Linked DNA regions of Ovis aries. The protein of the gene in region 1 purifies or fractionates together with the protein of each later gene. This does not show direct contact. Links are inferred from orthologs where the notes say so. Each region holds a gene or a part of one and is shown in the gene's direction. Other genes may lie near its edges.

Region 1 (5,030 bases):
GAATTGTTCAGTCGTGTCCGACTCTTTGTGACTCCATGGACTATATAGTCCATGGAATTCTCCAGGCCAGAATACTGGAATGGGTAGCCTTTCCCTTCTCCAGGGGATCTTTCCAACCCAGGGATCGAACCCATGTCTCCCGCATTGCAGGTGGATTCTTTACCAGCTGAGCCACCAAAGAAGCCCTGGATTCCCTAGAAGCACATCTTACAAAGATTTGTACCCAAGCAATTTGTTGAGAAAGTGCTTCCAGAAGGGAGTAGGGGAGGCAGGAAAGGGAAGGGCAGGAGGCTAGGCAAAAGAGGTAAGCAGCACAGTCATTGATGGACTCCTCTGCTGGATATCATTTGTTTATTGTCCATATTTGATTGGGCAGGTACTTAAAACTCCCAGACTGAGAACTTCCATTTTCAGCTCTTTCAAAGCAAAACAGTTCCATTAACTTGAGAGACTTTTCACCAAACAAGCCTCTGGTGCTGACTTCTGAAAGCACATCAAAGGTAATATGAGCACAAGGAAGCAACAAAAAATGATTCTGTGGGATCTGTGTGAATCATCAACATAGTTCTAGGGGTGGGTGGAGAGGGAACAAGTACTACAGTCTTAATTTTAAACTTTTTTCTTGCCTGACTTATTTCTTCTGTTTCATATGCTGCCAGAAGGGCATTTACCACTCCCTCCAAACTCCTTTATTTTCCCAAAGCCAAGTTACCAGCTCTTCCCACTGCCATCACTCACAGATACTTAGATGTTTCCTGATCGGTAACCTCATCCTTAGACCTTAAGCATTCCACTCCTCTTAGAATTGTTTCTAAGCCCAATAGCCAAATTACAAGTCAGATATGACTCAGAGTGGCCAAAAGGAATGTTTATTGAATACCTTACCCTGTCTGCTATTGTGCAACACGCACTTGTTTTATATACGTAGAGATAAACATATGGTTCAATCTTTATGGTTATATGGCTTATACAGTGTAACATTTAACGACATTCTGGGAATGGACACTCCCAGTGTAGGGTCAGAACCCAGGATTCCTCACTCATTAAGCCCAAGACTCTCTCTATTATGTCCAGGGCCTTTGACTAGTTTCTCTTTAGGGAACTTGGTCATTTCTTTACAAAGGCTTGATTCTGTGCGAGTGATTAATTGGGCCTGCTTCCCCAATCCGATCTCCTTTTCCCATCCTGAACAAGGAACGCAGTTTCTTCAGTCTTTAAAAACGGGAGACCAGTATTTGGCTGGTGGAATTGCATGGGATGGGTGTTAACCTCAGGCTCATTGCCCTGAAGCCAGGCATCCAGGGAGGCTGCTCTGGCTCTGCCCCGGTAAACTGGGGGCAGCGCCGCCCGATAACTGGCACATCTTGGCTTCCTCAGGCACCAGAAGTCTTAAAAAGATAGAGCTGAGACATCACATCAGGAAAGCCTTTCTCCTCTCTTTTAACTCTAGGGTGCAGCCACAATTCCAAACAGGAAACTCCAATGTAACCGGCACAGTCAACGTCAATCTGGCCCGGCGCCGCGGAGACACTCACACTAACCAACGAGCTCCTGCCACGTCACAGACCCCGCCCTCCAGCTTGCTGCGGGCTCCGCCACGCGTCGCTGACCCGGATCTAAAGGCGCTACGCGGCGCTATATTCTGGCGTCACTTCCACTACAACGATGGCGGCACAGGGAGCAGCTGCGGCGGTTGCGGCAGCGACTTCAGGGGTCTCGGGGGAGGGCGAGCCCGGACCCGGGGAGAATGCGGCGGTCGAGGGGACCGCTCCGTCCCCAGGCCGCATCTCTCCGCCGACCCCGGCGCGCGGCGAGCCGGAAGTCACCGTGGAGATCGGAGAAACCTACCTGTGCCGGCGGCCCGATAGCACCTGGCGTGAGGGCGGGGCCCAAGGCCAGGGGGCGGGGCCTAAGGGCGGGGCGGGGCCTGAGGGGGTTAGAACACTGTCTTTTGGACTTGCCCCGGCGCCGCCTACAATCCCCGCCGCCTGGGCTTTAACCAAAGTCTTCCTTCTGTGTTTTAGAGCTCCCATTCCACTTGCCAAGTCTTAGGCTTCATTCCCTTTTTTTTTTTTTTGTTAACCTGCTTCCTCGCTGGTCTCCCTTGTGTCTGTGACTTCCCCTTTTATCCTACAGCCGCCAGCGGAGAGGACCTCCCGGAACACAAAAACTAACTTCCCCTCCCTTCTGTTTTTTTGCGTCATTTCCAGAATAATCCCCAAATACCTTAGAATGGCCTTCGTCTTTGTCACCTTTCTGTTTTTTAGCACTCCTAGCAAAGGCCATTGACGGACCAGACCAGGCTCTTAAGACCATATGCCTTTTACTGCTGGCTAGCCCCACTCATCCTTTTAGCATCATATCCCCTGTGATGCCATTCTTGACTCCCTTCAGGCAGAGTGCATCGTTCCCTTCTGTATATTCCTGCAACATTTTCTTTATACCTGAGCTACGGTATATGTACCATTGTGTTGTCATTGTCTGTCTTCTATCAAAGTGTGAACTTCTGGAGGGCAGGACCGCTCATGATTCATCAGTGTATCTTATGTACCCAGCAGCAACCCAGCTCAGGGCCAGACTTGCAGTGGTTGCCTTAGTCATTTGTTGAATGGTCTGCCATTTGGTGCTGCTGTACTGAAAGCTTATCACCGTTTGAGGGGGGCGCTGTTATCCTTATTTACACATGAAAGCGCTGAGGCTCAGAAAGCCGAAATAACTTGTTCAGTTAAATATAGCTAGGAAGTGAGGCTGTGTGAGTCCACAACTAGCTCTCATGGCTTCTGAACAAATGAACGACTGAGTATACTAATACAGACCTTGAATTTGGAGCCAGACTTGAATTCGGTTAAATATTAGTGCTTATTACTTTTCAAATAGGTGAGCATGGGTAAGCCTCAGTTTCCTTGTCCCTAGTATAAGAATAAGAGCCCCAATCTGGCCCACCTCAAGACAGTGTTTGAAGGGAGTGGCAGAGGTGAACAGATGAGGTTAGCTTCGGAATCTGGCCTCAGAATCTGGCAACCTGCCCCTCAGTGTCACTCGTTCCAGCCCGGTGTTCTTTCTTGGTGATCCTAGCCTTTTCCCTTCACAGATTCTGCTGAAGTGATCCAGTCTCGAGTGAACGATCAAGAAGGCCGAGAGGAATTCTATGTACACTACGTGGGCTGTGAGTGACAGGGTATTCAGGTCTGGGTGCGGGGTTGGGGGAGAACGTGAAAGGGCAGCACCCTCATGACCCATCCTCACAGTTAACCGGCGATTGGATGAATGGGTCGACAAGAACCGGCTGGCGCTGACCAAAACAGTGAAAGATGCTGTGCAGAAGAACTCAGAGAAGTACCTGAGCGAGCTGGCTGAGCAGCCGGAGCGCAAGATCACTCGCAACCAAAAACGCAAGCATGATGAGATCAACCACGTGCAGAAGGTCCGGATTCTTCCCCTTCCCCAGGTCCCTCCCCTTCCCCAGGTCCCACCCCTTTCCCCTGGGCCCACCCCTTTCCCCGGGTCCCTCCCCTTTCCCAGGGCCCCAGGAGGCTCAGCATCCTCTCCAGACTAACTTGGGTCCTGGTGCCACACCCACAGCAGCTCCCATTGCTTAAGCTCCTGCAGTATATGGGGGACTATCTATCTCCTCCCAGGTATTCTTCACAGATGAGAAAACTGAGGCTCAGAGAGGGTGAGAGCTTGGCCATAGTCTTGTGGCAAGAAACTGACACAGCTGGGACTGGAACTCAGGCCTCTTGCAGCATTTATGCCCCTCTTGGCTGTGCCACATTGACAAACGGACCTGCAAGTTCCAAGGGAAGGAAGAGAATGAGTGATTTAGGGGTGCTTGCAATCGCCAACCCTTGTGCTGAGTGCTGTGCCTGGATAAGCTCATCAGGTCTTCTGTAACAACTTAATGCCACAGAGCTAATTAATTCTTTTTGAGGAAAGCAGGAAGCAGACTCAGAGAGGTTAAGTAACTTGCCCAAGGTCACACAGCTAGTATATAAAAGGGTGGGCTGAAATTAGAGTAATAATGGCACATTTATTGGCTTGTGAGCCACAGTATTAGGCTAAGTATTCTAGAACATGATCTCATTGAAATTTCACAGCAACTCTGTGAGGTAAACTATATCCCCAGTTTATAAGGGAGGTGCAGGTAGTTTTAGGAACCCAGTCATGAATTAGATTTGCCAACTAGATTGTTCTACTTTGGGGCACAAGCCCTTAGTCTTGACTTGGAAATAGCCTAGAAACTCCTGCCATTTATTTCCAAAGCTTGGATTTGGGGACTTCCCTAGTGGTCCAGTGGTTAAGACTCTGTCCTTCCAATGCAGGGGGTGTGAGTTCAATCCCTGGTTGGGGAACTAAGATCCCTCATGCCTCTGGGCTAAAAAAAAAGAAACAAAATTTGGGTTCTTTTCTTGAAGCCAGCCTGCCCCTGGGGGGTTTCTTTTCTCCCACTTTGAGCCTCAGTTTCTTGATTTGTGAAATGGAGTGTGCAGATGAGAAGAGGCTTTATGAAGCTCTTAAGGAACCCAGATTTTTGTTATTTTCACCCAGTGCAATTGCATCCTGAGCACTCATTGTGGGTTTTGCAGCAATGGTTTGCAGACTGTGGGGCACAGCTATTAGTAGAATGCAAGATGAGTTGCATTGGGTTGTGGTCATTTAAATTTAAAAAACGGAATAACTTAAGACAAGGTACAAACTATCAGAGTATATTGTCCTTTAATAAAGGTAAGTTGAGAAGCTCTTATTTCAGATACAAATATAGTTTGTATACACAGACTGTCAACTGGTTAACAGTGCTGTCATTTAAAAAAATTATTTTTAATGCTTTGAATTAGAAAGATCTTTCACTGGGGATTCCCGGTGGTCCAGTGATTAGGACTCGGCGTCTTCACTGCCATGGCCCAGATTCAGCCCCTGGTCGGGGAACTAAGATTCCACAAGCCATGTGGCGAGAAGAAAACCCAAAAGATGTCTGTAAAGCACCATCTAAGGCAGCACTGTCCTACTGAACATCCTGTGATGGAAATGGA
Region 2 (4,274 bases), on another chromosome or scaffold:
TAGTTCAACTTGTAACTCAGTTTTCTTAAAGCAGTAGAAGTGCTTTATGTGTACTTTCCCTTTCATTGCACAGAATATATAGATAAACGTATAGACACGCACTGAAGACTTGAGTGGAGATTTAATAAAGTTCAGAATTTCTGTATTTCATCAAGGATATCAAAGGTCATTGTAATAACCTTTTAAAAAAAGTTTTATTTTTAAACTAAATGAGTAAAGAATACAGTGACCAGAGGCTATTAGTACAGTTAGGTATCTCTGCTTTGATTTTTGCTCAGGTACCAGCAGTTTTGCTCAGACTTGTCTTTTGCATCCCTATCGCAAACATCAACACTGTGGAAAAAGGCAAATAATGTTTAATATTATTATGAAAAGTTTGATCTTGTGGAACTCTGAAATGGTCTTTGAGCTCTCAAGAAGTTTGTAGGCCGCACTTTAGTACCTGCTGGCTTAGTTCTTGACATAGATTTCCTTTTACTCTCAGACCAGATAAATCAAAAGGGATGAAGAAGAGGCACACTGCTGAGGTTTTTAGCTGGGCTTACTCAGTGAAAGCAATTTCCTGAGATGATAAAACTGGGTGAGAAGTAAAAAGAAATTCAGTTTTGAGCTTCAGGGGGCTTGAGGTACACAGAGGTGAGGATGTTGATTAGTGTAGCTGACGGTGTTTTTCTGAGCGACCAGAGGACTTACACGTTGCTATCAAGATTGTTGCCAAGGAAGTGAGTTGAGAGAGAAGAGGGCAGAAGGGACCTTGCTGTCAAGGACATCGGGAAAGAAGAATTTCCAGAAGAGTGGGGTGGTCAGCACTACCTAATGCTTCAGAGAAGTCAGATAGAATGGGGACTGAGACTTGAGCATGGGATTTGATAATGAGATTGCTTGTGACCTTTGCCAGAGCCATAGGAGTAGAAGGCAGATTACAGAAGAGTGAGAAGGGCAGAGGCAGCTATTTATAACTCTTCTTTCAAGAAGTTGTGAAGAAAAGAGACACATTGATTGGGCAATTAATTTGAGAGGTGGGCTATACTGAGAACAGTGGGAAAAAAAGAAAATAGATGAAATAAACTGGCATTACAGGTGTGATACAGTAAAACTTTTAGTATGATCTGTCTTACAGAGAAGCTGACAAACATTGGATCCTTCGGCCAGAAATGTACAGACATCTGGCATACAAACTTTGGGTAGGGAATGAGGAATTCTAATTCTTTTCTGTTTGATTCCTGGTGTTTAGTTTGATACATTTGCTTTAAATTCACTAATTTCAAGAAGTTTTAAAGCTGTTTTTTTCTTAAATGCAGATGATCTGACTTTAACAGTCTGTGACTACTTTTAATTTATAGTAACAAGTGACTAAAAGGAAGGATGGAATTCTTTCTTTTGTAGAGCTGTGGCCCCGCCCCAACACCCTCCCCTTTTGGTTTGAGTGTTTTCTTGAAGACAGAGTTTGGTTAACAGCCTCCATGATGTTTGTATTAAAAACATGTGTGTTGTTTTCTAATGTGTTTGTATTTCTAACTTCCTTTTCTTCTTTCTCTTCTAGTCTGTTCTCTGGGGAGGCGGTAAGGGGCTGTGGAGCTGGCCTCGGCACCGGGAGAGGCTGGACTTCCTGTCTCTCTGTGCTGAATGGCTGCGATGGCGCCCGCTCTCACTGACGCAGCAGCTGAAACACACCATATCCGGTTCAAACTGGCTCCCCCATCCTCCACTTTGTCCCCTGGCAGTGCCGAGAATAACGGCAACGCCAACATCCTTATTGCTGCCAACGGAACCAAAAGGAAAGCCATCGCTGCAGAGGACCCCAGTCTAGACTTCCGAAATAACCCTACCAAGGAAGACCTGGGGAAGCTGCAGCCGCTGGTGGCGTCTTATCTCTGCTCCGATGTGACAGCTGTTCCCGCAAAGGAGTCACTGAAGCTGCAAGGTGTCTTCAGCAAGCAGACAGTACTCAAACCTCACCCTCTCTTATCTCAGTCCTATGAACTCCGAGCTGAGCTGTTGGGAAGACAGCCAGTTTTGGAGTTTTCCTTAGAAAATCTTAGAACCATGAATACAAGTGGTCAGACAGCTCTGCCACAAGCACCTGTAAATGGGTTGGCGAAGAAATTGACTAAAAGTTCAACACATTCTGATCATGACAATTCCAGTCCCCTTAATGGGGGAAAACGGGCTCTCACTTCATCTTCTCTTCAGGGGGGTGAGGTGGTGGCATCTGAGTCTGGGGACTTGAAAGGGGCTATGACCAATTGCACTCTTCCACACAGAAGCCTTGATGTAGAACATACAACTGTATTTAGCAATACTAGCACTGCAAACAAATCTTCTGTAAATTCCATGGAACAGCCGGCACTTCAAGGAAGCAGTAGGTTATCACCTGACACAGACTCTGGTTCTAATGTGGGGGGTGTCAAGTTAGAGGGTAAAAAGCCTCCCCTGTCTTCCATCCTTTTCAGTGCTTTAGATTCTGACACCAGGATAACAGCTTTACTGCGGCGGCAGGCTGACATTGAGAGCCGGGCCCGCAGGTTACAGAAGCGCTTACAGGTTGTGCAAGCCAAGCAGGTGGAGAGGCACATACAGCATCAGCTGGGTGGATTTTTAGAGAAAACTTTAAGCAGGCTGCCAAACTTGGAATCCTTGAGGCCCCGGAGCCAGTTGATGCTGACTCGAAAGGCCGAAGCTGCATTGAGAAAAGCTGCCAGTGAGACCGCTGCTTCAGAGGGACTTAGCAACTTCCTGAAAAGTGACTCGATTTCAGAAGAATTGGAGAGATTTACAGCCAGTGGTGTAGCCAACTTGAGGTGCAGTGAACGAGCGTTTGATTCCGACATCACAGACAGTAGTTCAGGAGGAGAGTCTGATATCGAAGAGGAGGAACTGGCCAGAGCTGACCCTGAGCAGCGCCACGTACCCCTGTGAGTAGAACCACACATAATGTCTTTTTCAGAAACGTTCAGACGAGGGAGAAAGACTTGGTGAATTCCCATCATGGGAAGATAGGACTTCATGGTATGATGGGTGCCTAGAATCTGTTTGTCTTTTTCCTAATTTTAGGTAGGGGGGGTACATATATACCTGCTAGTGAAGAAATGGAAGGTATTTTTGGTTTTGTGTTGCTGTAGGATAAAAGCTGCTAATTTCCCATGGAAATCTTATTAAGAGAAAACTAGATGATTTCCAGTTTGTAAAACTACCCATTCTTCTTTCACAGTGAATAATTAGATTTCTTTTGAAACCATATGTAGATGTTTTGTAAGTTTGTGAGGCTTGACTTCGGATTGTTGTTTCTAGTAAGTGGGGCGAAAGTTTGGTTGACCTAGTTAAGTTCTCTGGAATTTATGGTTGCTTTTAATTGAGCTTTTAGCAGAGAATGTACCTGGTTTTCAATTTTGACATTTGAGATTTCCTTATTAAAAAAATAAGGACTAATAATCAGGAAGTGCTTCAGAGTATTTTGTAGGTTGTCTCCAAGCGTGCTATGCTATCACACAACCTGATTCTCTTCCTAACTTTATCAGATTTGGGTTTTATTTTCTTTCAACTAAGTTAAATGTATTTACGTATTTGGGATAAATTCTTACTGGATTTTCAAAATGTGTTGGGTTGAGGAAAATTCTCCATAAGCTCTAAGTGGCACTTTACATGAACCTGGTAGAGACATACATGGTTTACCTCCTATATTTAGCTCCTATATTTAGCGCTAAGATAAGAAAGTACAGTATATCTCCTTAAAGATAGATCTGCATTTATTTAGACTTCATGAGAGAGGGAGATGAATAGTTGGAAAAGAGGGCAGAAGAGTTGACTAGTAGATCCTTTTTGGGTGGGAATGTTGTAAAATTTGGATTGCTAGAGAAGACTGAAGTAGGTGGCTGTGTTGGAATAGTTGACTGTCCCTTGCCTGTAATTAAAAGGTGACTTAAGATTTTCACTGGAGACTTTACTGAGACAGCTATGCTTCTAAGCATAAGTAGATTTCCTTTTGTTTTCCTCCAGTTTGTTATAAACATGGATAACACTGTATCTGAGTATGAAATTTGGGTTATGTTTCTGTTTTGAGTGAAAAAAGTCTGGATAATCGTGCTGAATTTTTTCCCAGGTAGACCAAGTGCCATTATCACTTGCAGGCTTAGTGTGCTCAAGAGTCCACTTCTCTATTCAGGTCTAAAGCAGATAAATTTCAGAGCATTGCTGTAACATAGTTATCTTTCCTTAAATGGATTAGTAGCTTCAGTCAGCTTGGCAATATTTGTGGCATTATCCCCGCTGACTTT
Region 3 (4,274 bases), on another chromosome or scaffold:
TTTTGTGTGTGTGCTTATGAATAACATGATGTTCCTTAAAGTCTTAAATTATGGGACAAAAACTGCAGACAGTGACCACACTGATGGAGCTTTATTGCTTCCTTAGCATTGTATTTAGCATATCTGGCAGTTAGGGTATTTGATGGCTATTTTAGGGATTTTTCTTTTTTAAGGTAGGGACTTAAGAAATACTGTCCATCTGCCAGGCTCAGTGTATACCACATGTGGGATATTTATTAATTTCATTGAACTGTGTTTTCTTTGAAAGTCAGCATAAGGACTTTAAGCATATTTGAAATATTGGGGAAAACATTTTGTTTTCACTTTGGTCAGTGTTTTTTAAGTGAAATTAACAACAAAAAAGAACTCCTGCTAGGTTAAGTGGGTAAACTTTTAGTTCACATATACATTTTCAGATGTTTTTCTTCTGTATTTTTAATTTCATTACACAGGAACCCTAAGGAGTAGACAGGGAAAATATCCTCATTTTATAGTTGAGAAAATAAGAGTAATTGAGATTACTCGATTTCAAATCTAGTGTTTTTCCTGTGCTTTTTGACTCCCATCTTTAAACTCATAGATTGTATTTCCCACCCCCCTTTTTATTTGCAAAAGCATGCACTACTTTCACCCCCCACTAAGTTAGTGTTCCTACTGCTTTGTTTTTCCCTGTGAAAAGAGGAAATGGAAACCCACTTCAGAAGCAGCCTGCATTTGGTTATAAGCTAGCTGTAGAGTTAGTTTAGTTTTAAGTAGATTTTTAAAGAAGAAAAAATTGCAACTTGATGCCATTTTCCATTATTATTAATAAAAAGGATAAAATGTAACTAATTGCATTCTGCCTAGATTTCTAGTATGTTTGCATTTTTTTAAAGTACTGGTTCAGGAGGACACTAAGAAGTTTCCACCTCCTTTTTTTTCGTTAAAAAGAACTTATGGACTAAAAAAGGTTAGGGTAGCTGAGTTTCATTTAAGATGGAAATGATAAGCTTAAATTAATAGTAATCTTGAGCAGGTACGGGGGACGTTGTTTTCTGTTCTAGAAGTGAGTAAAAGGAGACACTCAAAATGAAGTTATTTTATATCTATAAAGGGGGAAATTACCTAAAATAATGACAGGTAAAACAACAGATAAAGGTTACCAGGATGGGCTGAGGGACAGAGGATGCTTAATGGCTCAGAGGTGGCTTGTGGCTTTCTAGAGAAAGGGAAGCGAACTCTTTCTGCATCATTTTTTCAGCCTTCTCATTATACCATTTTCTGACTGTGTTTTCAGTTGCCATGTAAATGTGTGTGTTCTCTTCTCTCTTTTAGTTCTGGAAAGCTGGCTTGATTTCACAGGGGAGTTGGAGCCACCCGATCCTCTTGCAAGGCTGCCCCAGCTTAAACGCCACATCAAACAACTCCTAATTGACATGGGCAAAGTACAGCAGATAGCCACTCTCTGCTCTGTATGATGGCAGTGAACACGTGATGCAAAGAATGGGGCTCTGTTCAGTCGACTCACTTTTATTATCCACATGGCTGCTAAGTGGATAGTTTAAAAGCTTAGTGATGTTTGGTCATTTACTGATTTGTGACATCAATAGGATGGCACCTTGAAAAGGAAAGTGAAGAACAACTTTATCAGGGAAGCTAATATTAAAAAACATTCATGAGCTAGATACAAATGACAATGTGCCATATGCCCAGGGTCAGTGGAGGTAGATTAGAATCTATGCTGAGGGAATCAGATTGGCAGGATTTTTGAGTAGTTGCTAACATGAAACACGAGATACCTGTAGGAAGAAATACGGTGCATTCTTACAGTTCTTAGTAGAAAGATCTATGTTTATAAACCAGCATTTGGCCAAAACGAAAATTGTAGAGGAGATTTAAATTGTGGAGAGTTCTGTAAGGTTGTTGTAAGAACTGTCTTCTCTGCAGTTGATCCAGCTGCACTGAAGTCCAGAGTATTAAACTTTTATGGGATCATGAACTGTTTCTTAGGTGATGAATGTCCTTGGCCAGAAAACTGACAGTAGAAGTCTCACTTCCGAGGAGAACAGCTGTGGCACCCTTACTTCGTTATGAGTATGTTTTAAAAACCGTGAAATAATTGGAATCCATTGCTGGCATTATAAACTCATTGTAAAACACAGAATGGCTCGCGGAATTGTCAGTGTGCCAAATAACGATACTGCTGGAAAGAGAGATTTAAACAACTGTGGGAGTTCTCTCACCCAAGTCTTACATAATGCCATCAGTCCATCAGAGACGCGTCTATCCCGTATACTATATATAGAATATATATAGTCAGAGTTCAGCATTCAGGTTTCAATGTACAGTTTGACCCTGAGTGTGCTTGATATTTGCCTTCAGAAAAAAAAAAGTAAATAGCCTCAGCTGGGATGAGGAGTGACAAAAATAACAAAATAATTTGTGGCTGTGGATTTTTTTTTAAACTGCTGGTAGTGGAATACTGGAAAAGCTTCATTTCTGAAGATGAATTTTATTTTTAAAAAATACATAAGGCACTCAAAACTTGTAGCTTTGATCACAAATGGACAGATTTCTGAAACCAAAGGCAACTAAGTTGCTGCGTTAGCTCTTGCTGGATCTCGGCCTGGCCTCCGTCTGCCAGTGCTCTTGCGAGGCGTGTGCCGCCCCCATGCTCGCGCAGGTGTGCGTTCAGTGTGTATGCTTGTTTGAAACAAACACTCAGCATACATGTGTACATAATCGACATATTTATATCTACACATATCTAGTTTTATTACTATAGTCTATAAGAGTTGGTGGTTAACATGAAATGTTACCTTTTAACAGACTGTTTTTAAAAAATTAAAAATGTTATGTATAGGTTTTGAAACTTTTTTAAAAAGGGGGGAGAAAAGACTGTTAAGAGGAGGCTATTTGATGACATGTTAACACTTGAATATTTTATGCCTCATCCTGTTTATCAGTTCTAGCAATCTGTATAAATGCATTTTAGAACTGATAGACAGTCAACTTGAATTTATCTTTGATAAGAATACATGCCACTGTACATTCAGATATTATTTAAAACTGCAAACACACTGTTCTATATGTAAGGTACTGTATGTAAAACTCTTTATTAAAACAATTCCACATATCATAAAATTTCAGCTTGCCTTTTTGCGGCCTTATATTTTGATGTAAAGATGATTAAAAGAATGTGCAAAGCAGTAACTAGAAATTTTTATTGCCTTTTGAGATTCTCCGACTTGACCCATGTGCCAAAGATCACAGACGTAAAATACAGCCCTGTGTATTTACTTATGATGCATTACCATTGTGAGAGACCTTACTGAGAAATGAAAAGCTTTAGTAGAGGAGATACAAGGTAGTTATTAAATATGAGGATTAAAGTAAAAAAAGATAGTGCCTGTGTTTCACATGTGGAGTAAACTTTCTAATGTCTCTTTTTCAGGGTTGATACTCTATTTTTTCATTTGTGTTTTAAAATAATGACCCTAATCTTTCCCCTGTTGTTAAATTCTAGACATTTATCTGTTTTTCAGAATGGAACAAATAGCATTCTTAACAGGCTGTGAACAGTGGTGTTGCCCAGATTCTTGTCACATGCTCGAGGGACCTTTTGTGCCTAGTAACACTCATATTCTCAGCCCCTGATGACCATAGTTAAATTAATGTGCATTTTTTCTTGGGACATTTTAAAATTAGATCACTTTGATAGCCAGCTGACTAGAAGTTTCATTAATAATTAGAATATTGAATTCTTGCTCTGCTTTAATGAATTGGGAGTCTGAAGTTTTTAATTTATATTTTAAAGTAAATCTGTATTGAATTACTTATACGCACATCTCCATTTATTAATAATACAGAGTGTATCAAAAATTGGTTGAAGCCTTTTAGCAACGATAGGCTGCTGACTCATTCTGTATTTAGGTGAGTGAATTTGTTTTTGACAAGTCAGTCCATTGTGAGAGGTTTCGGAGGAGTTGGTTTTCTTTCCACGTAGTCTTACTTTAAAAAAAATGTGAGTATATACATCTAAATATAAGCAGTAAACTAGGGAGGGTGTTTCTTGAAAAGGTAACTTTTCATTGCCACCCAGACAGAGTAGACAGACACTGTAGGGAGAGATCCTTCTTAGTCTGCTACTGATAAGTATAGTTTGTACTTCTTCATACTCACAGTGTGGTTCTGCTGACTTTCAAACTTGAGTAGTGTACACTTTCCTTAAAGGAAATTGATTATTCTCATTATTTAAGGTGAAATCCTTTTTCCCACATTCACCTTATTTCCAC
Region 4 (4,274 bases), on another chromosome or scaffold:
AGTGGACTGTGTGTTTCCACAAAATGTGGCCAACGTTTGTGGCATTCTAGTCCTATCAGTGGTTACACTGTGACACAATGATGTTGTATTCTTACCATGGTTTCTCAGCCTTGGCTCGACCGATATTTTTAATTGGATCATTATTGGTGGCGGAGGCTGAACTATGCGCTGTAGGATGGCAAGCTGCATCCCTGGCCTCCACCCACTGGATGCCAATGGCACTTTCCCAGTTGTGACCATCAAAACTGACTCCAGAAGGTGTCTGTGTTCCCCCCAGAGTAGAATCACCCCTGAGTTGTGAACCACTGAAACAAAACAAGGACAAAGGATATCACAGCCTTTAATGCCAGGGTGCCTTGAAGAGTTAAAGGGTGAAAATGGTATAATAATGTTTAGGTACCTTTTAAGAAAGTATTTGTTTTGGCACGTCTGGAAGTGAAAGTTTCTAAGCCTCCTGGAGTGGAGTGGAGGCTGTGTTTTCTGTCTGAAGAAGGACATTGAGGAACCCCTCCAGGCTTGGCAGAGATTCTGTGGACTGGGTGCATCTGATGCTTTCCCCTTCCTTCTGTAGGAACCAGGAGGAGCTCTCTCCAAGCCCACCTTTGCTGAATCCATCCACACCACAGTCCACAGAGAGTCAGCCAACGTCAGGTGAACCAACCACCCCCAAAAGGCGCAAAGGCGAGCCGGAAGCCTTGCAGTCTCTGAGGCGGTCCACGCGCCACTCTGCCAACTGCGACAGGCTGTCTGAGAGCAGCGCCTCACCCCAGCCCAAGCGCCGGCAGCAGGACACATCTGCCAGCATGCCCAAGCTGTTCCTGCACCTGGAAAAGAGTAGGTCCACTGCCCGTAGGAGGGCCATACCGGGGAGAGCTGATGTGGACTCTGTGCTTGGTCTGGGTCAGGCACCGTGCTCCTGAACCCAGTCCAGCGGGAGATGGGAGCCCCCCCCCCCCGCCCCCCACGTCTTCAGCTCTACAATCAGGATTCCTGGTACTGACCAGTTTCGCTCTGGCTCACGTCTGTTTGCAGTCCCTCTCTCCAGCCCTGAACTAGTTAACGTCCTGTACGTATGGGTCTGCCTCTTCTAGGCATGACTTCATCAGTGGAATCATGCAATACGTGGCCTTTTGTCCGTGGCTTCTTTCACTTAACATACAATGTTTTCAAGTTTCATCATGTTGTACGTAGTTTATCCCAGTGAAGTGTGAAAATGAAAGTGTTAGTCACTCAGTTGTGTCCAACTCTTTGTGATCCCCCTGGACTGTAGCCTGCCAGGCTCCCCTGTCCATGGGATTTCCCAGGCAAGAATACTGGAGTGGGTTGCCATTCACTTCTCCAAGGGATCTTCCCAACTCAGGGATCAAACCCAGGTCTCCTGCATTGCAGGTGAATTCTGTCTGAGCCACTAGGGATATCTCCGAACTTGATTCCTTTTCTTTCCTTTTTTCCATCAAATAATATTCCAGGTACTGTCCTTGACAGGGAAGTCTTATTGGTAAAAATTAAAAACTTCTCTGCTGTTTGTAAAGGTCTTCCAGCAATCTTTAATTCGGTAGCTGTATGATTAATTAGTGGATAATTAATTGGTGACTAATTAAAGTCTTTTCCTTTTAAAGAGACACCTGTTCATAGCAGATCATCCTCGCCTGTTCCTCTGACCCCTAGCAAGGAAGGGAGTGCTGTGTTTGCTGGCTTTGAAGGCAGAAGAACTAATGAAATAAATGAGGTAAAGCATTAGTGTCTGTTGTTCACCTGCATTGAACCCTTCCTTTTGTGTTTTCTTAAAAAGTCTTACAAGATGAAATCATGTTTGCTTAGAAGAAACATTGTTACTCTTGCCATAGATATTAACAGAATTTTTTGTATGATGTGCAACATTGTATTTGTGGTATCTAAAATGAGACAGTTACCACGGGGATTCGAACTCCTGACCTCTGGACCCTAGACTGCCTGCCTGCCTGCCTAACCGCTACACTACTGCGGCTCGCTTAAAGGGTCAAGCAGGTGATTCGAACTCCTGACCTACGGAGCCAGATTGCCTGTCCACCTGCCCGTCTGCCTAATCGCTACACTACCGAGGCTCAAGGGGACGACCCAGGATGAGATGGCTGGATGGTGTCACGGACTCGATGGACGTGAGTCTGAGTGAACTCTGGGAGATGGTGATGGACAGGGAGGCCTGGTGTGCTGCGATTCATGGGGTCGCAAAGAGTCGGACACGACTGAGCAACTGAACTGAAAATGAGACAGTGGTTAGGATTATAGCCCTGTACTTCCATTCCTCTTTTATTTCAAATAAGTCCAAGTATTGAAATAGGAGTATTGTTATTTTATAGAACAGTTGTCAGTACAGTTTTTCTGCAAAAAGCCAGAGAGTAAATATTTTCAACCTTGTGGGCTACATAGTCACTGTTGAGACTCCCCACCTCCAAAGCAGCCCCGGACACTGTGTAAGTGAATGAGTGTGCCGTGTTGCAATAAAACCATGTTTATGGACACTGCCATTTGCATATCAGATAATTTTTTATTTATGTGATATTTTACTTTTGGTCTTAACCATTTAGAAATATAAAACCCATCTTTAACAGTAATATTAATAGCCATCCCTTTGAGGGCATGCTGTATGCTAGCATTGTGCCAGGCACTTGATCTAAATTACCTCACGTTCTTGAGAATAACCTTACCAGCAGAGTTCCCTTTTACAGACAAGAAAGCTTCAGTTTGAAACTATTTTTAAGGCCAGTTAACTGAGATACATAGCGAGTATTTAAGGAGTTCAGGAAATGTCTTAGTCCACTGGGGTATTGTATGAATCTTGCCTAGCAAGTGGGCTTTCCTTGTTTCTGTGCACAGGGGAGGATGGCTTTACCAGACAGAATGGTTGGTGACAGGGGTTAGCAAACTTTTCTTATAAAGGGTCAGATTGTAAATATTTTCAGGGTTGTGCATCAGCTTGTGAAAGTGGTGTGAATAGTTCATAAAGGGGTGTGCTGGGTGGCCCCAAAATTCATTCGTGTGTGCTCGGTCTCAGTGCACTTGCTCAGTCGTGTCCAACTCTTTGGACCCCATGGACCGCAGCATGCCAGGCCTCCCTGTCCATCACCTACTCCTGGAGCTTACTCAAACTCATGTCCATTGAGTCGATGACGCCATCCAACCATCTCGTCCTCTGTCGTCCCCTTCTCCTCCTGCCTTCAATCTTTCGTAGCATCAGGGTGTTTTCCAATAAGTCAGTTCTTCACACCAGGTGGCCAAAGTATTGGAGCTTCAGCATCAGTCCCTCCCATGAATATTCATGTGTGCTAGTAATCAAATTTCATATGATTTTTATTTTTTTATTTTATTTTTTTTCATATGATTTTTATATGTTATGAAGTAGTAGTCATTTAATTTAAAAAAAAACATTTAAAAACAGTTGTTTTTAGCATGAGGGGGTTGCTTTGGCTCACGGGCTATAAGTTGACTGACCTCTGCTAGAAAACCCAGTTCATGTTCCAGTGATGTTGAGGGAAGGTTAGGAAATTCCTAGTGCAAGCAGTCCCTAATTTTCCTTTTTTCAGACTAGAAAGCCCTGCAGGTGTTTTTATTCAAGAAGAATCCTGTTTCTTACAGTAGTCCCCAACCTCCATGATCTTAGGCCAGATGAGCTGAGGTGGAGCTGATGTAATAATAGAAATACAGCACACAATAGATCTAATGCACTTGAATCATCCCCAACTGTCCCCCGCCCCAGGGCCATGGAAAAATTGTCTTCCACAAAACTGGTCCCTGGTGCCAAAAAGTTGGGGACCCCCAGAAAACATCTGAATACTGAGGCACAGCCATTCCCACTCTGGTCACTGTTGCAACGCCGCCATCTGGTGGTGGTAGGTACAGCTACAAAGTCTAGTGAAAAAGTGGTTGGGGTTGGACAGGCCCTCATGATGAGACCTTGGTGCATTCCATCTGCATAAAGCCTCCATTGCAGCATGTTTTCCCCAGGGCCCTGCATCCTGACCACCTGAGACTCACTCTCCCAATGTCATCTGCCGCCCAGCCGCACCAGGGAGGGTTTGGACTGGCGTAGTCCTGGTTGAGATCACAGGCGATTACTGTGCACACCCTGGTTGAGACTTCCTCCACTGGAAACCTGTTATTTTCCCCCATAATGCATCTTTGAGAGAGCTGATTCACTACATTGAGCTGCAGAATTGAGGGAGGGAAGTAGCCAGGCTCGCTAACTAACCACATGATCTGGCTTTGCACGTGAGTGTGCCCTTCGTGCCTCCAGT
Region 5 (4,274 bases), on another chromosome or scaffold:
CTTACATCTTAGTCCTAATTTTAAGGTATGAAATTGGACAATGGTTTGATTTCTTCCCAGTTGAAATAAGGCACTTCCCCTTTCAGTGGTTGTTTTCACTCTCAAATAGCTCAGCATTGTACCTCTGCTTAACTGGGGCCTAGACTTAGGCTGTCCAGTATGGTAGCTGCTAGCCACTTGTGGTTATTGAGCACTTGAAATGCGGCTATTCTGAATTGAGATGGGGAAACACACACTGGAGGGAATTCCCTGGCTGCCCAGTGGTTAGGACTCCGTGCTTTCACTGCCCAGAGTCTGGGTTCAATCCCTTGTCTGGAAACTAAGATCCCACAAGCCACATGGCATTGCCAAATAAACAAAACACAAAACAAAACCCATAAAACACACTCTGGATTGCAAATAGTACTAAACAACAGCAACAAAAAAAAACCCACCCACGAATGTAGAATATCTCAATAGTTTAAAAATATTGATTACATATTGAAATGATATTTTTGGATACATTGGGTTAAATATGAATTAAATATTCATATTTAAGTATATAAATGTTACTTTTTATATTTACAGAATATTTTATATAAATATAAAATTTAAATCTATTCAGTATAATTCATCTATTTAATATAAATATGTAGCTATTTTAATTATATATTTAACATAAATATAAAATATAAGTTTAAATTATTTTCACTTTTTTAACTTTTTCAAGTGACAACTGAAAATTTAAAATTATCTCTGTGGCTTCCATTTGTGGCTCTCATATTTCTGTTGGACAGCAGTGGTCTAAATTCACTGGCTTTCTCAGTAGGATTCCAACAGAGAATTAAGCTCTAATGCCCAAGGCATCTGTAACCTGTAGTGAACTGACTTCTGCCAGTTGGTGGTGGTACTAGTTATAAACCACTCTTGGGAGAATTAAGAAAATAACCTTTGTTCTGTTTTCAAATGAGGAACCCCTGTTGAGAAGGTCTAGACGTTTTAAACCTCTGTGCAGTGTACCGTTTTATGATGTGGGATGTAAATAAGCAGGCCTTTTTGTGTAAGTGGGAGAAGGGCACTTATTCAAGAAAAGGTAGACAGTGTGAACAGGCAGAAACCTGCTGTGTCCTCACTATAGTTTAGGGAAGAGAGTGAGTATGTGGGACTTGAGCATTCTGAAACAGAATCCCCTTTGGTTACTCTTACAGTGGGTTGTACTCTCTGGAAAGTGTAGACTGGGATACTTGCATTCCAGTCTGCAGACTGCTTCTCTGAAGCCACCTTACTTCACTCAGATTAAAAATGGGGCATTCAGTTTATTGCTTGTATTAAGTGTACGATGTTACACAAGATAGGATCAAATTTAATAGAGAACTGGGGTTTTCCAAGCTTACTGTTAACACTTGTCTGAGCTGTTCCTCTCGTTAGAATCTCTGGAGCAGGATCTGGGAATACTAATTATTAACAACCTTCCCAGATGATTCTTACTGTAAAAAGAATTCATTGTTGGGAAACATTGAATTTCTGCGTGGTTAGCCCCGTTTTGTATATGGTATCAATGTGAAGGCTTGCCAGTATTTCATATACTTCAAATCCGCTTTAAAAATTGCTTGAAATAAGTCAATTGACATGGTGGAGGCTTGAGCTCGCTAGATTATGCAGACCTTACTGGACCCAGATCTGAGCTATTTAGGGAGGGTTGTTTGTATTTAATGTGGAATGTGTGTGATCTCTAAGTTCCCACCCTTGGAACGAAGTACTGTTGGCACATTGAGAAGCTTGAACACACAAAGAACCAAAGAGATCAGCATTCTCATCAGGTTTGCCTCTTCAAAGCTCAACCCTCTGTCCTTTGTACATTTGACATGGCAGATCTGAAGCTTCTGGTCTTAGATGAGTCTTCTCTCTCCCCCTCCTTCTTCCCCTCCCATTTCCTTCCCTCTTCCCTCTCTTCCTTCCCCTGGCTGCTGCTTTCTCTCGTTTCAACCTTCATCAGACCCCGTAGCCCTACCTTTCCTTCAAGCTTCCCAATTTCTTTTCTTTTGTTTTTTATCTTCTGCCTGCCTCTTTGATTCTTATCTTTCCTGATGGGAGAGAACTTCTTAAGCGTTAGGTTTAAAAAATAAAAAGTGAGTACTGTCTAAGGGTTTAGCTTCTGCACTGCTAAAATTATGTCAGTGCTGGATTTGCCAGTGTTAAGCAGCCTTGTCTGGAACATTGGCTATCAAATAGCGTGGTCTCCTGAGATTTTTCTGGAATTATTTTTAAGAGGTTGTAAATGTTGACATTCTCTTTGGTCCCTCAAAACTAGGACCAATGCCAAACTGACCAGTTCAGCAAGTAGAGGCTGAAAATAATAATCAAACTTTAGTCCCAGGGTACAACATTTTAAGAATTAGCCTACATGGTGGATTTCCTGAGTACTGGATAAGCCAAATTTTGATGAGAAGATTTGATGGTTATAAAAATGACTTTACTATTGCCTTTGTACCCTCATATTTTAAAGGAGTCATATTAGGATATTTAAGGACTGGGTTTTAGGAGATCAGTATATGACTAGAGCTGGGTCATAGGAAAGATCACAAAGATTCAGAGGTCAGTCTGCAGGGTGTCAGCATTTCCTATAAGGTAGTAATCTCTCACCCATTTCACTTTTTACTCCTTTTGGCTTAAGTAAGAATGCCCTTTGAGGGTTTATTTATCATGCAACGATTTGTGTGGATGTGTGTGTATATACATATATACCTATATATTATATATATACACACACACATATATATATGTTTTATTTGTATACAGCATGAAAATTGGTCAAAAAAAACTACATATCTTTTTGTGTGTGTGTGGTTTTATATACATTGTAGCTGTGGATTCAAACTCTCAAACTTTGCAACCAATAACATTGGAATTGAGAAGACGGAAAATATCAAAAGGAAATGAAGTCCCGTTAAAACGTCCTCGGCTTGACAAAAATTCATGTGAGTCTTCAGTTTGTGTATGTGTGGCTGGAACTTGACAACCATTGGGTTAGCTCCCCTGTGTCCTTGTTGTCCCCTGGGCCTGATAGACTCTAATGGCTTGTTGATCACAGGGGCTAGTGTGAATGGGATGTGTTTGGATCAGAGGAGTTTTGCTAGAGGGAAAATAAATCCCAAAGCACAAGCTATGTTAATGTTGAGTTCAGTAATGCCGTTTCCATACCCATCTGATTTGGATTCCACTGGAAATTTAATGGCTTAGGAAGTGATGGATTTCATATGCTGAGTGAAACTTTAAATATATATTTATTGATCTTACTCTAGCACAGGGAGCTATATATTTTAAAATAACCTAGTGTAGTGGAAGAGTCTGAAAAAGAGCATATATATGTGCATGAACCTGTATATTCATGCACACCTGAAACTATCACAACATTGTAAATCAACTATACTTCCATTAAAAAAAATGCTATTGATTGATTTTTAAAAAATACCCTATTGGTTCCAGAAAGGACTTGTGATGACTCTAAGGCTCTGTAAACCTTATTGCCTTGGGGTGTTGTTAATACGTACATTTTTATGTTGGAAAGCCCCAAAATAGCACTTGTCAAGTGGGATGTGACCTTGCCCACATATTTTCATATCATAAATCTTTAAATTAGGAAAATTATGTCCTGGCAGAAAGACTGTGCCTTTATTTAAAACTATAAGCCAGGATAAGGTATTTCCTTTCATCATTGATGCCAGAAGTCTGTTTGAAGCCCTTATCAAGGCAGCCAGTCCAGAAATCTGTGTGTGCTAATTCACTTCAGTAGTGTCTGACTCTTTGTGACTCTGTGGACTATAGCCCGCCAGGCTCCTCTGTCCATGAGATTCTCCAGGCAAGAATACTAGAGTGGGTTGCCATTTCCTCCTCCAGGGGATCTTCCCAACACAGGTATTGAACCTGCATCTCTTATGTCTCCTGCATTGGTAGGTGGGTTCTTTACCACTAGCATCTCGTGGGAAGCCCCAGAAATCTGTAGTAGCAGAGTTATTTCTTCTGGTCTCTTGACTGCAACTCTCTTAATGGTTTATAGCCCAGGAAAAGTCAAAAAACTACTCGGAAAACACTGACAAAGACTTATCAAGGAGACGGTCTTCCAGGCTGTCCACTAATGGGACCCACGAAATTCTAGATCCTGACTTGGTTGTATCAGATTTGGTTGATACGGTTAATACTGATCCTTTGCAAAACACTTCATCCAATACCAAGGAATCAGAAGAAGGTGAGTCAGAGTCTGTTCTAGAATGGTCTTGCCAATCTGCTGCCTGTCT

What was found. Proteins that work in one complex are often made in the same cells at the same time.
Region 2: the proteins of KAT8 (region 1) and KANSL1 purify together in Homo sapiens (affinity purification with western blotting; 4 studies listed by BioGRID and IntAct, with this or other methods). This does not show direct contact. The link is inferred for Ovis aries from reciprocal best matches to the Homo sapiens genes KAT8 and KANSL1.
Region 3: the proteins of KAT8 (region 1) and PHF20L1 purify together in Homo sapiens (affinity purification with mass spectrometry; 3 studies listed by BioGRID and IntAct, with this or other methods). This does not show direct contact. The link is inferred for Ovis aries from reciprocal best matches to the Homo sapiens genes KAT8 and PHF20L1.
Region 4: the proteins of KAT8 (region 1) and MSL3 purify together in Homo sapiens (affinity purification with mass spectrometry; 4 studies listed by BioGRID and IntAct, with this or other methods). This does not show direct contact. The link is inferred for Ovis aries from reciprocal best matches to the Homo sapiens genes KAT8 and MSL3.
Region 5: the proteins of KAT8 (region 1) and PHF20 purify together in Homo sapiens (affinity purification with mass spectrometry; 3 studies listed by BioGRID and IntAct, counting the BioPlex papers as one, with this or other methods). This does not show direct contact. The link is inferred for Ovis aries from reciprocal best matches to the Homo sapiens genes KAT8 and PHF20.

What each region holds. Positions count from the first base shown.
Region 1 is NC_056077.1:27,733,569-27,738,598, forward strand, and holds the start of KAT8 (histone acetyltransferase KAT8), read left to right. Parts: upstream 1-1,647; 5' UTR 1,648-1,665; coding exon 1,666-1,876; intron 1,877-3,091; coding exon 3,092-3,166; intron 3,167-3,248; coding exon 3,249-3,424; intron 3,425-5,030.
Region 2 is NC_056064.1:45,869,993-45,874,266, reverse strand, and holds part of KANSL1 (KAT8 regulatory NSL complex subunit 1), read left to right. Parts: intron 1-1,543; 5' UTR 1,544-1,626; coding exon 1,627-2,915; intron 2,916-4,274. UniProt on the Homo sapiens protein: Non-catalytic component of the NSL histone acetyltransferase complex, a multiprotein complex that mediates histone H4 acetylation at 'Lys-5'- and 'Lys-8' (H4K5ac and H4K8ac) at transcription start sites and promotes transcription initiation.
Region 3 is NC_056062.1:21,559,993-21,564,266, reverse strand, and holds part of PHF20L1 (PHD finger protein 20-like protein 1), read left to right. Parts: intron 1-1,314; coding exon 1,315-1,457; 3' UTR 1,458-4,274.
Region 4 is NC_056080.1:9,915,781-9,920,054, forward strand, and holds part of MSL3 (male-specific lethal 3 homolog), read left to right. Parts: intron 1-571; coding exon 572-834; intron 835-1,619; coding exon 1,620-1,729; intron 1,730-4,274. UniProt on the Homo sapiens protein: Non-catalytic component of the MSL histone acetyltransferase complex, a multiprotein complex that mediates the majority of histone H4 acetylation at 'Lys-16' (H4K16ac), an epigenetic mark that prevents chromatin compaction.
Region 5 is NC_056066.1:65,008,755-65,013,028, forward strand, and holds part of PHF20 (PHD finger protein 20), read left to right. Parts: intron 1-2,843; coding exon 2,844-2,957; intron 2,958-4,036; coding exon 4,037-4,225; intron 4,226-4,274. UniProt on the Homo sapiens protein: Methyllysine-binding protein, component of the MOF histone acetyltransferase protein complex.